2 linked regions of the Arabidopsis thaliana genome follow. The protein of the gene in region 2 binds, or shares a complex with, the protein of the main gene of each other region. Each region holds a gene or a part of one and is shown on either strand. Other genes may lie near its edges.

Evidence for each region.
Region 1: RSZ21 (region 2) and U2B'' share a complex: the UniProt entries of both Arabidopsis thaliana proteins name them as parts of the spliceosome.

Annotation. Positions count from the first base shown.
Region 1 is NC_003071.7:12,904,845-12,909,680, reverse strand, and holds U2B'' (U2 small nuclear ribonucleoprotein B), read left to right. Parts: upstream 1-2,015; 5' UTR 2,016-2,246; coding exon 2,247-2,319; intron 2,320-2,658; coding exon 2,659-2,831; intron 2,832-3,431; coding exon 3,432-3,525; intron 3,526-3,638; coding exon 3,639-3,727; coding exon of another isoform or gene 3,728-3,787; exon of another isoform or gene 3,788-3,854; coding exon 3,855-4,124; 3' UTR 4,125-4,336; downstream 4,337-4,836. Other genes in the region: AT2G30270 (LURP-one-like protein (DUF567)), read left to right, coding at 624-845, 1,036-1,236, 1,529-1,654; WRKY25 (WRKY DNA-binding protein 25), read left to right, coding at 4,592-4,828. UniProt on the Arabidopsis thaliana protein: Involved in nuclear pre-mRNA splicing.
Region 2 is NC_003070.9:8,426,283-8,431,496, reverse strand, and holds RSZ21 (RS-containing zinc finger protein 21), read left to right. Parts: upstream 1-2,011; 5' UTR 2,012-2,236; intron 2,237-2,255; exon of another isoform or gene 2,256-2,312; 5' UTR 2,313-2,332; coding exon 2,333-2,421; intron 2,422-2,493; coding exon 2,494-2,582; intron 2,583-2,678; coding exon 2,679-2,892; intron 2,893-3,097; coding exon 3,098-3,262; intron 3,263-3,399; coding exon 3,400-3,406; 3' UTR 3,407-4,240; downstream 4,241-5,214. Other genes in the region: AT1G23850 (uncharacterized protein), read left to right, coding at 4,452-5,214. UniProt on the Arabidopsis thaliana protein: Probably involved in intron recognition and spliceosome assembly.

The sequences.
Region 1 (4,836 bases), on a different chromosome or scaffold from region 2:
GTAAGGGTGATGTTTTGAACAGAGTAGATCATCATATATATATTCTACAGAAAACATAAAAAAAAAATAAAATCAATACATTTTGAAAGATTATACATAATTCTTAGTTTTTTTAAAACAAACATTTGAGAGGGATGGAAATGCAAAAAAAAAAACCTTTATAAATCAATTCATGTCAAAGGTATGTTCACTAAAAATGTATCTTTTCCAACAAACACATATGTTAAACCATACGTTTTTCCAACCTAATGTAAGTAACACATTTACCATTTTCTATTAATTTATTAATCAAGATCAAACATCAAAAAAATGTGTTATTACTTTTTAGTTTTTTTTTTTGCATTTCAGTTTTGTGTGAAAAAAAAAACAAGAATTGGTATCTCAAGAACGTAAAAGAAAATTATCATTACTATTTTATTATCTTTGGCTTCTACATCCAATTATTTACTTGCTTAATTTTATTCATCTGAATTATTTTTTGGTGTAAGAAGAATGTTTCGCCGCAAAAAAAAAAATCTGATCCGACATCATTAGAACAAAAAAAAACATTGGCGTTGAATATAAGCTGCTTCTCTTGTTCTTCTTCTACCTTACGCTTCTGACTGTTATTAGAGACTATGTAAATGGCTGATTCCGAGACTCCGTATCACCCCGACCCTGAGGATCTCCGGCGTATACCAGTCGATCTCTTCGCTTCCAAAAAGCTTCCCGGACTTTCCTCCGGCGATCTCGGATTTGCCGATTCTTCCGAACATCTCGTCTTCATCCTCCGCAAATCTTCTTCCTCCTTGAAATCTCTCCTTGATTCCTCCGGAGTTCCTCTCTTCTCCATCTCTCGTCTCCACGTAAGCCTCCTTCGTCCCAAATTTCATCGATTTTGGCAATTCTCATCGCTACTTGTTTAAATCTCATTATTCATTACATAGTCCACACGATGTTTATACTTTTTGATTGTTTGGGTTTTGTTAGTTAGTCACTGGCTTGAGATATATCATAAGAACACTTACAGATCTTTGTATATGTATTGGAATGTAGAATGGAGTGTGGGAATTACATAAAGGAGATGTGGAAAAGCGTAAGGATTTGGTTCTAACGGTGAAGCGGACATCGAAAAGATTCAGTAAGACAGAGTCAGAGGTCTCTTTTGCTGGAGAATCGTCCGAAAATCTTGTTATCAAAGGTGTTCCCTTTCAGAAATCTTGTACCATTTATAGTCAAGATTCCATTGTTGCACAGGTAAAGATACTCATCTTCTCCCAATTACAGCACTATTGAACATTCTATAGCTAGACAAGAGTCAATACCGTGTTATACTGGTTTTGATTACCGGGTTCAAAACTCATCGTTTGGATCATGCTTGCTGATGGATAAACAACCAACCCTTTGTTTCGTTCATTTGAAGTCGGATTCATTAGGCTTGTAAAATTTGCTTGGATTCTAATACACTTGTTTTAAAGATTTTTGTTGTTGTTGTTGTGTTTGAACATTTGCCTCAATCTGATTTATGTTCCTTTAAATGTGGTGGCAGACGAGTTTGATGTACAAGCTGAGACAGATTTACGTAGGGAGAAGCAAGTTCCGGTTAACGATATTTCCTGGATCCATCGATCATTCACTAGTAGTCGCAATGGTTGCCATATTTCTTCAAGGATGAAAGTGAAACATCCTCGATTTATTTTCTCAGTGTAAAGAAAAATGTAACACAGAAACAAAAAGGCATTTTAGTACATTGCATTTTTAATGCCTTTTGATTCAATCGGCTCACACGTGAATTGTATTATCTATCACATGAATATTGAGATATACTAAGGTCTAAGGTTAAATCTTTTTTCAGAACAAATTTGCAAGCTCAGCTGGAAAAATACAACATCATTTACATTATTTTAAAAAGTTGTTGAACATTTGAATCAAAATGATTCACAAGACTTTTGTTGGAATTTTGCAATAAAAAAATTGATCTCGAGTCTATAAAAGTCCAATCCCGACCACTCATTCTATTTCCGGTTCAATTCTGTCTAGCCGGTCAAATTCAAATCCGGTCCATCCGGTCGGCTCATTCACGTTGGTACAAAAGTTTAGGAAATCGAACCAACAAACTAAACGGCGTCGTTAAATAGTCTGATGTTGAAACGCAGCTATTTCTTTTACTCTTCTTCGTCTCTCTCATTCCCAGTTCCCACCATTAGGGCTCTCTCTAAATTCCTCAGTCTCGAGAATCTTCATCGTCTTCACGAGCTCACTCGAAGATGTTAACGGCAGATATACCACCGAATCAATCAATCTACATCCAAAACCTCAACGAAAGGATCAAGAAAGAGGGTAAACTTCTCTTCTCGTTTAATCTAATTCGTCAAGTAAATTTCCAAATTCTTAGATGTTGAAACCTCCATGAACTTCCTGTACCAATGATTCAAGCTTCTACAGTACTGAATGTTAGGGTTTTTGCTTGTTTTTAGCTTATATAGAGTGTTCGTTTCTAAATACTAGGGTTTCAGAATCGTATTGAATCTAGTGACAAGGTTATAAGGAAGATATATATGTTGGTGTTGTCTGTTTTCGCCATTGTATGGATAATTGTTATAGACGTGTGAAGTAGTGTTGGCTCAGGGCAGTATCATCAATCTCATGCTTTATCTGACTTGGTTTTTGTTTTCTCAGAATTGAAGAGATCTCTTTACTGTTTGTTCTCTCAGTTTGGGAGGATACTTGATGTGGTTGCTTTGAAGACTCCGAAGCTCCGAGGACAAGCTTGGGTTACTTTTAGTGAAGTCACTGCTGCTGGTCATGCTGTTCGTCAGATGCAAAATTTTCCCTTCTATGATAAACCAATGGTCAGTATTTCATCACTCTTGAGTATATCAATCTCTTTATAGTTTCCATGAAAGTGATCTTCTATGTGTTGTATAGATCGATAGAAGCAAATCGTTAGTGTGTTTGTGTAATTGATTACTAACAATTTGTTTTGGAACCTTTGACCTTTTTCTATTCCCAATCCATTGGTAGTCATATATGTGTTTAGATTTTGTTGCTGTTGATGAGTAACCAATGATTAGTATCCACTACCTTTTCTGTCTTGAGTATATCAATCTCTGTATAATTTCCCTGGAAGTGATATTCTGTGTGTTGTATAGATTGATTGATGCGGTAAAAGCAGAAATCCTTAGTGTGTTTATGTGATTACCAATGATTACCTTTGACTGTGTTATTCTCAATCAACATTTAGTTATATGTGTGTTTGGATTTTGTTGCTGACCTTCTCAAATCACATTCTCTTATGATTTCTGTTGTCAAAATGTTTGTTCTGTTTGATATATACATTGTTTTTATAACTAAATCTTACCTCTTTCGATTGTTTGTAAACTATTCAACTACTTCCAATCAGGTTGAGATTTATTATTATTCATACTTTTTATGTGATCTTTTAAGTGCAGCGCTTACAATATGCAAAAGCAAAGTCAGATTGTCTAGCTAAAGCTGAGGGAACTTTCGTTCCAAAAGATAAGAAGAGGAAGCAAGAAGAAAAAGGTTTTAAACTTTATTTCTTCTTTTTGCATTTTGTCGTAGATGTTGGTTCAATGATACAACTATAAAATTTTCACTTGCATCTAAAGTTAACAAACTTCCTTTCTTACTTTCAGTTGAAAGAAAGCGTGAAGATTCCCAACGACCAAACACGGCTAATGGCCCAAGTGCTAATGGTCCAAGTGCCAATAACGGAGTCCCTGCGGTAAGTGTTCTTGTTCTCACCTTCATCTTCAGAAAAATCTTCCATTGTTGGATCATGTGAACCAAACTATTGTTATCTGGAGATGATGCTGATGTTTTGCGTTTTATCTCTGCTCTTCTTAATGCAGCCTTCGTTCCAGCCGAGCGGGCAAGAAACAATGCCACCAAACAACATACTCTTCATTCAGAATCTCCCACACGAGACAACAAGCATGATGCTACAGCTTCTCTTCGAACAGTACCCTGGATTCAAAGAGATAAGAATGATCGACGCAAAACCAGGAATCGCGTTTGTAGAGTACGAAGATGATGTTCAAGCTTCCATAGCTATGCAACCTCTTCAAGGTTTCAAAATCACTCCCCAGAATCCAATGGTCATCTCTTTCGCCAAGAAATGATAAGAGTCTTGTTTTTGTTTGTTTGTTGTCCTTTAAGACGATAGTACTGGACCAACCAAACCTGGTGTGTATAACCAACCAACGGTTCTATTGGTTAACGGATTAATCCGGTTTTGGTTTAATCATTGAAAGAGACCCTTGAAACGCGGTTTCACACTTGACGATTTATCACAAATTAGGAGACGACTCATCAAAAAAGAATATCTTACTGGTCAACCATTTTATAGAAATATTAAAATCAAAAATGATATTTAGGCCAAAGTAGAAAAAGACAAGAAGAGAGAGAAACAAAAAAAACCTTGCTCAATACGCCACCGTCGTCGTCTTTAACCCAATCTAAAAGCCTCTGTTCTTTTTTAGTTTTATCCTCTTTTTCATTTCAAGATCAATTTCATAAAAAAGTTTCCTTTTTTAGCGAATCCTCTGTTTTAGAAATCTTAAAGTTGTCTCCTTTATTAAAGACCATCATGTCTTCCACTTCTTTCACCGACCTTCTTGGTTCTTCCGGCGTTGACTGTTACGAAGATGATGAAGACTTGAGAGTTTCTGGGTCGAGTTTTGGTGGGTACTATCCAGAGAGAACCGGGTCTGGTTTACCTAAGTTCAAGACGGCTCAACCACCACCTCTTCCGATTTCACAATCTTCTCATAACTTCACTTTCTCCGATTACCTTGATTCTCCTCTGCTTCTCAGCTCCTCACACGTAATAAA
Region 2 (5,214 bases):
TAGTTTAAGTAGCTATATTGAATCTATGATTTGGTAAGACATGAGAAATTTATATCAAAGTGGCGGTGTCCATGTATACAAAAATCTAATGTTGACGACAAGTCGTTTCATGTTAACAAAAAAAATACCGACTAGTCACATCTCTACAAAGTGCAGGTAACGTTTTAAGAAATAATTATCATAATCCGTTGGCAAAAAAAAAAAAAAAAAGACTAAAACAATTTAATGTATTGGTCAAAAAACAAAACTTCTACACACGATCTAAGACTATATCCATATTGATAAGATGAATTGAATCGATATATATTCTTACTTTAACAAAAAAGAAAGATCATTAGAGTTATCTTGTCTTACTAAAAGTCTTAGATAAAGACATAAAAATGGAACAAACATCATTGGGAATGCAACATGCATGTACATATTACATATAGTAAATATAATATAGTTAAAAGCGAAGTCATTATTATATGACTAAACTAAGATAATTAAAACATGTAAGCACACATTATCGGGAATGTATTGATATTAAAAGGGCACCACGTAGGTCAGGGTGGCCTCTCAAACCCCCCAAGGGACAAAGCAGCATTAGGATTGTCACTAAAGTACTAACCATGTGTTATTTTACGATATTATCCCCATTTGGTGTTAATGGTTCCAAGTGTCAATGTAAATAACGTTGACATATATAAGCCGTGTTTTGTTTTCACGTTGTTTAGGAAGCCAACGAGGATTGGGTAATTGGATCCGAATCAGATTGACACTTTCTTCTTCTTTACTTTTCTTGCTCTTCCACTTGACAATACCAATTTAGGGCTTGGCTGGATACAAATGTTTTTATCCTTCTTCAACCCGTTATCCGTTTTACTAGACTTAAAAAAAAAAGAATAGTATGTGTAAATATGATACATGATATCATGCATTTGTTAACTACGATAAAAAAAATCGAATATCTATATTGTCCATTTTGCAGATATCCCTTTTAAATATCTAACTAAATATCTGTAAATGTGAGGTTTAAAATTGAAATCCGTATATTTTTATTGATATGCACAACGATAGTTACAATAAGTAACATGACACTAATAATCACTCCCCAAAATTTTTATACAATTAGATATAATTTTAAATACTAATATTCTATAAATATTTCACAATTTTAGAAATTTTGATACTAACCAATTAATGTTAGCTTTGGATAACGAATGAAGTTATGGCCATCTTATTTCTTCTGAGCCATCTATTTAGCCATAGCCATCCAAAAATTAAAGAGTATCTTATTCCTCCCATGTCCAGCTTAAGGGACAAGCCAGGGAATAGCGACACGTGTAAATTGAATGTCGATTTTGTAAAAGGAGGTAAGTGGGGTCTACACAGTGGCTGCAAATAAACGAATCATAACTAAACACGTGTCAAAGACACAGTCTTAGAGGAGTCGATGTAAGTGGGACCCAGCATGACTTATCTTGGTTCAGAATGTTTTCCCCAATGGATAAGTGTCTTTTTGTTTTTGGTGGGATGATGAAACCTTTTCTATTTACGTCGACGCAATTTTAAACAATGAGACTCTTTTTTTTTTGTGTGTGTGCAATCGTTTAGAGACTTGTTCACATGAATTAGGTGCCCAATCATGTGTAAATTGGTAAGGTATATGTAAAACTAACAATTGTTACACTTGCCAACTCCAAACTTAGATTTAATCAGCCTACTATATTTTGAAAATTTAAGAAGATACAAGTACTGATGCAAAAGTTGAAAACCAAAACCAACTCATATGGGCCATTAAGCAACTGAAACTTGCTCATATTTTTAAAATTTTAACCAAAAGGTTATGGGTTTTAGGCCCATTAGTTTTTTTCAGACTGAGAATCACGTCAAGTTACAGTAATTAGACATCAAACTCTAGAAACATGTTTGCATAACTTTTGTTGTCAAAGATGTTTTGCATAGTTTCAAAATCCGCTTTCACCTCAATTCTCTTTTTACGTTAACTAATCGACTATGGGAGACTAGTCTTACATTTTGGTCGCTAAAACTTTGTTTATGAATATATGGATTACCGAAAAATAAGGGACCATGAAATAACTAATAAATGACCAAATAATATATGATGTTAATTTTTTTTTACTTTTCAGTTTTCATATAATAATGAAATAACTTGGTTACTCTCTTTCCTCGCCGTAGTCTGAGTCTGAACCCTAAAACATCCCGCTTCGCTGCTCAGGACCAAGAATCTCAGGTACCTTGTTAACTACTCGCTGTAACTATTATCGATATCCATATTTCTTCACAAAATTCGATTCTCTTTCGTTCAGATTCAACTGATCTTTGCAACATGACGAGGGTTTATGTCGGGAATTTGGACCCACGCGTCACCGAAAGAGAACTCGAAGACGAATTCAAGGCCTTCGGTGTTCTTCGCAAGTAAGTCCTATCTCTGTACTCAATTTTGTTTCAAGCCATACGAATTATGACTCTGAATCTTAAAAATCGCAGTGTCTGGGTAGCTCGTAGACCTCCTGGCTACGCATTCCTCGAGTTCGATGACGAAAGAGATGCTTTGGATGCAATCAGCGCATTGGATCGTTAGTGTTCTTCTCATTAGACCTCTTAGTTACCATGTAATGTTTGTATTATTGTTTGGTCATTGAAAAGTTTTACTCTTGTGGCGTATACTTCAGGAAAGAATGGGTGGCGTGTGGAGCTTTCTCATAAAGATAAAGGAGGTCGTGGAGGTGGTGGTGGTCGTCGTGGAGGTATTGAGGATTCCAAGTGCTATGAGTGTGGTGAGCTTGGACATTTTGCTCGCGAGTGTCGCCGTGGTCGAGGCTCTGTGAGGCGTAGAAGCCCTAGTCCCCGTCGTCGTAGGAGTCCAGATTATGGGTATGCTCGCAGGTAACGATCCAACGGAAACATTCTTATTGAGCTGCTTAGATGAGATAGTATGTCATTAGTATGTCCATTGTGTTAACATATCCATTGAAATTGCACTTTGTAATCATGTATAGGGGCTGAGTTGTTAATGTTGATAGTACCTTTCTTGATGTTATAATCGCTTTGTGACATACATTTTTGTTCCTGTGGAATTGATTTTGTTCAGGAGTATAAGCCCGCGTGGAAGAAGATCTCCTCCAAGGCGTCGCAGTGTTACTCCACCTCGCCGTGGGAGGAGCTACAGCAGATCCCCTCCTTATCGTGGTTCACGCCGTGATTCTCCTCGCCGCAGAGACTCGCCCTATGGTCGACGTTCGCCATATGCCAATGGGTAAAAGTTCTTTTCTCTTCTTGGATTTAGGTTTACTTTCTCAATCTGCATGACTCAACTTCAGCATTGTCTATGTAGATGTGAATAACATTTGAAGTATTTTGATATAAGGTATATATTCGTTTGCGTTTCTGCAGGGTGTGAAACTGGACCCTGAAGAGAAAGAAGCTATTACTAAGCTATGATGCTATATCTACTCTGTGGCGCCTTTTAGGATAGATCTTTATATCTGCTATTATGGTATTAGCTCTTCTAGGTTTGGTTGTTGAGCATGGACATGTCATGGTATGTTCGAGTTTTATTAGACAATTGGATTTGGTGAGTTCTCCTTCATGCTGTTTTCCAACAGCCGTCTTGACTTATTCTCTATAACACGCACTGGCCTGCTGTCTTCACACAGCGTCCTTGAACCCCTACACTTGAGGTCGTTCTTTCGTATCCATAAATGTTTTGTCTCTTGTTGAATGCACTTTCCTTATTATATAGACATATCTAAAAAGCTCAACTGTTTCCACTCTTTTTCCCTTGTGAGGTATGATTTATCGGGGATCTCTTGGCAGCACAGCTGCATCTTACTCTCCCCACAACTTAGTTTTATCATGAATCTGCATCCTCAACTCGACCAACATCAGCTAGAATTTGCTTGTTACATTGTGTGACTTTTAGATTGCCCTGCTCTTTACTCACCACTCCTACCCCAAGTCTGCAACCAAGCTTCTATTGAGAAAGACGAATCTGTTTCTTCACCCCGTCCTCTTCCTAGCTCTCGGCTGCTATATCACCACTTGGTTTCTCTACTCACTTTTGTTTTTCGGTCAACTTTGTTACACATCTGTTGGTGGATCACACACTTACATTAAATTAAACCCATTTGTGGATGCTTCTTTTTTATATTGCTTGTGAAAAACGTGTTAGCTTAGTCTTTTGTGTTCATGATTTGGTTTCCCACTTATGCTTTTCTTTTCCCAATTAATCTCGACTTTTAATCTGTTCTTCTTCGGCCGCCACATGTTTTCATTTTAATACTTTTCTAAATTTGGTTTTGAGGCAATTTGGTTCAGATTTGTTGGTATACCAATTCTTACGTCAACGTCAATGAAGAAACGACTCCATATTTACGAATAAAAAACTGTAGTAGATCTGTACTCTCCCTTTTTCTTTGTAGAGAAGAAGAGAACTGTGAAAGAAGATGAAGATTGAGGAGGATCTAGGTTTCATCAACATACTCAAACGAGCAACAAAGCTTCTATGTGGTAACATCAATCTTGTTCTCTTCCTCTTCCTTTGCTCTCTCCCCCTCTTTTGTTTCTTGATCTTCTTCGAGCTTTCACTCCAAACCACTGTCTCACTCGCTTCTCAATACCTCGTTCGACAACTCACTAATTGGGATTACTACTACGTTCCTCAAGATGCTTCCGTCTTGGAGAATCTGATTCCATTGCTTATCCAGACATTTCTACTCTACTTGTTCCCGTACGGCCTCATAGACCTCTTCACCACCACCACAATAGTCTCTGCATCTTGGACTGTTCACACGTCGGAGGAGGAACCGTTAAGGTTCGGTCAATTGGTTCGGAGAACGGTAGAGATATGTCAAAACAGACTTGAAGGTTGTCTGATCACCTCTCTGTACGTCCTTCTCTTGTCAACCCCTGTTTTCTTTGGCTTCTTATTTGTAGCAACGAACTATTTCCACATCATTTCTCTGACCGGATCAGGCGAAAACTCATACTACTATTCTATAAACATTGAAGAAGATGCCGAAGGCTATTACAGAAGCAGCAGTGTCAACAGTCCGGTAAAGATGTTGTTTGATGCGGTTTTAGCTATGTTTCACGGTGCTATCTTTCTCGGTTTACTGGCGATGTTCAGCAAGTGGAGTGCGGGATGGAACATGGGTTTGGTTGTTTCGGTGTTAGAAGAGGAAGAAAATGGTCAAAGCATATATGGAA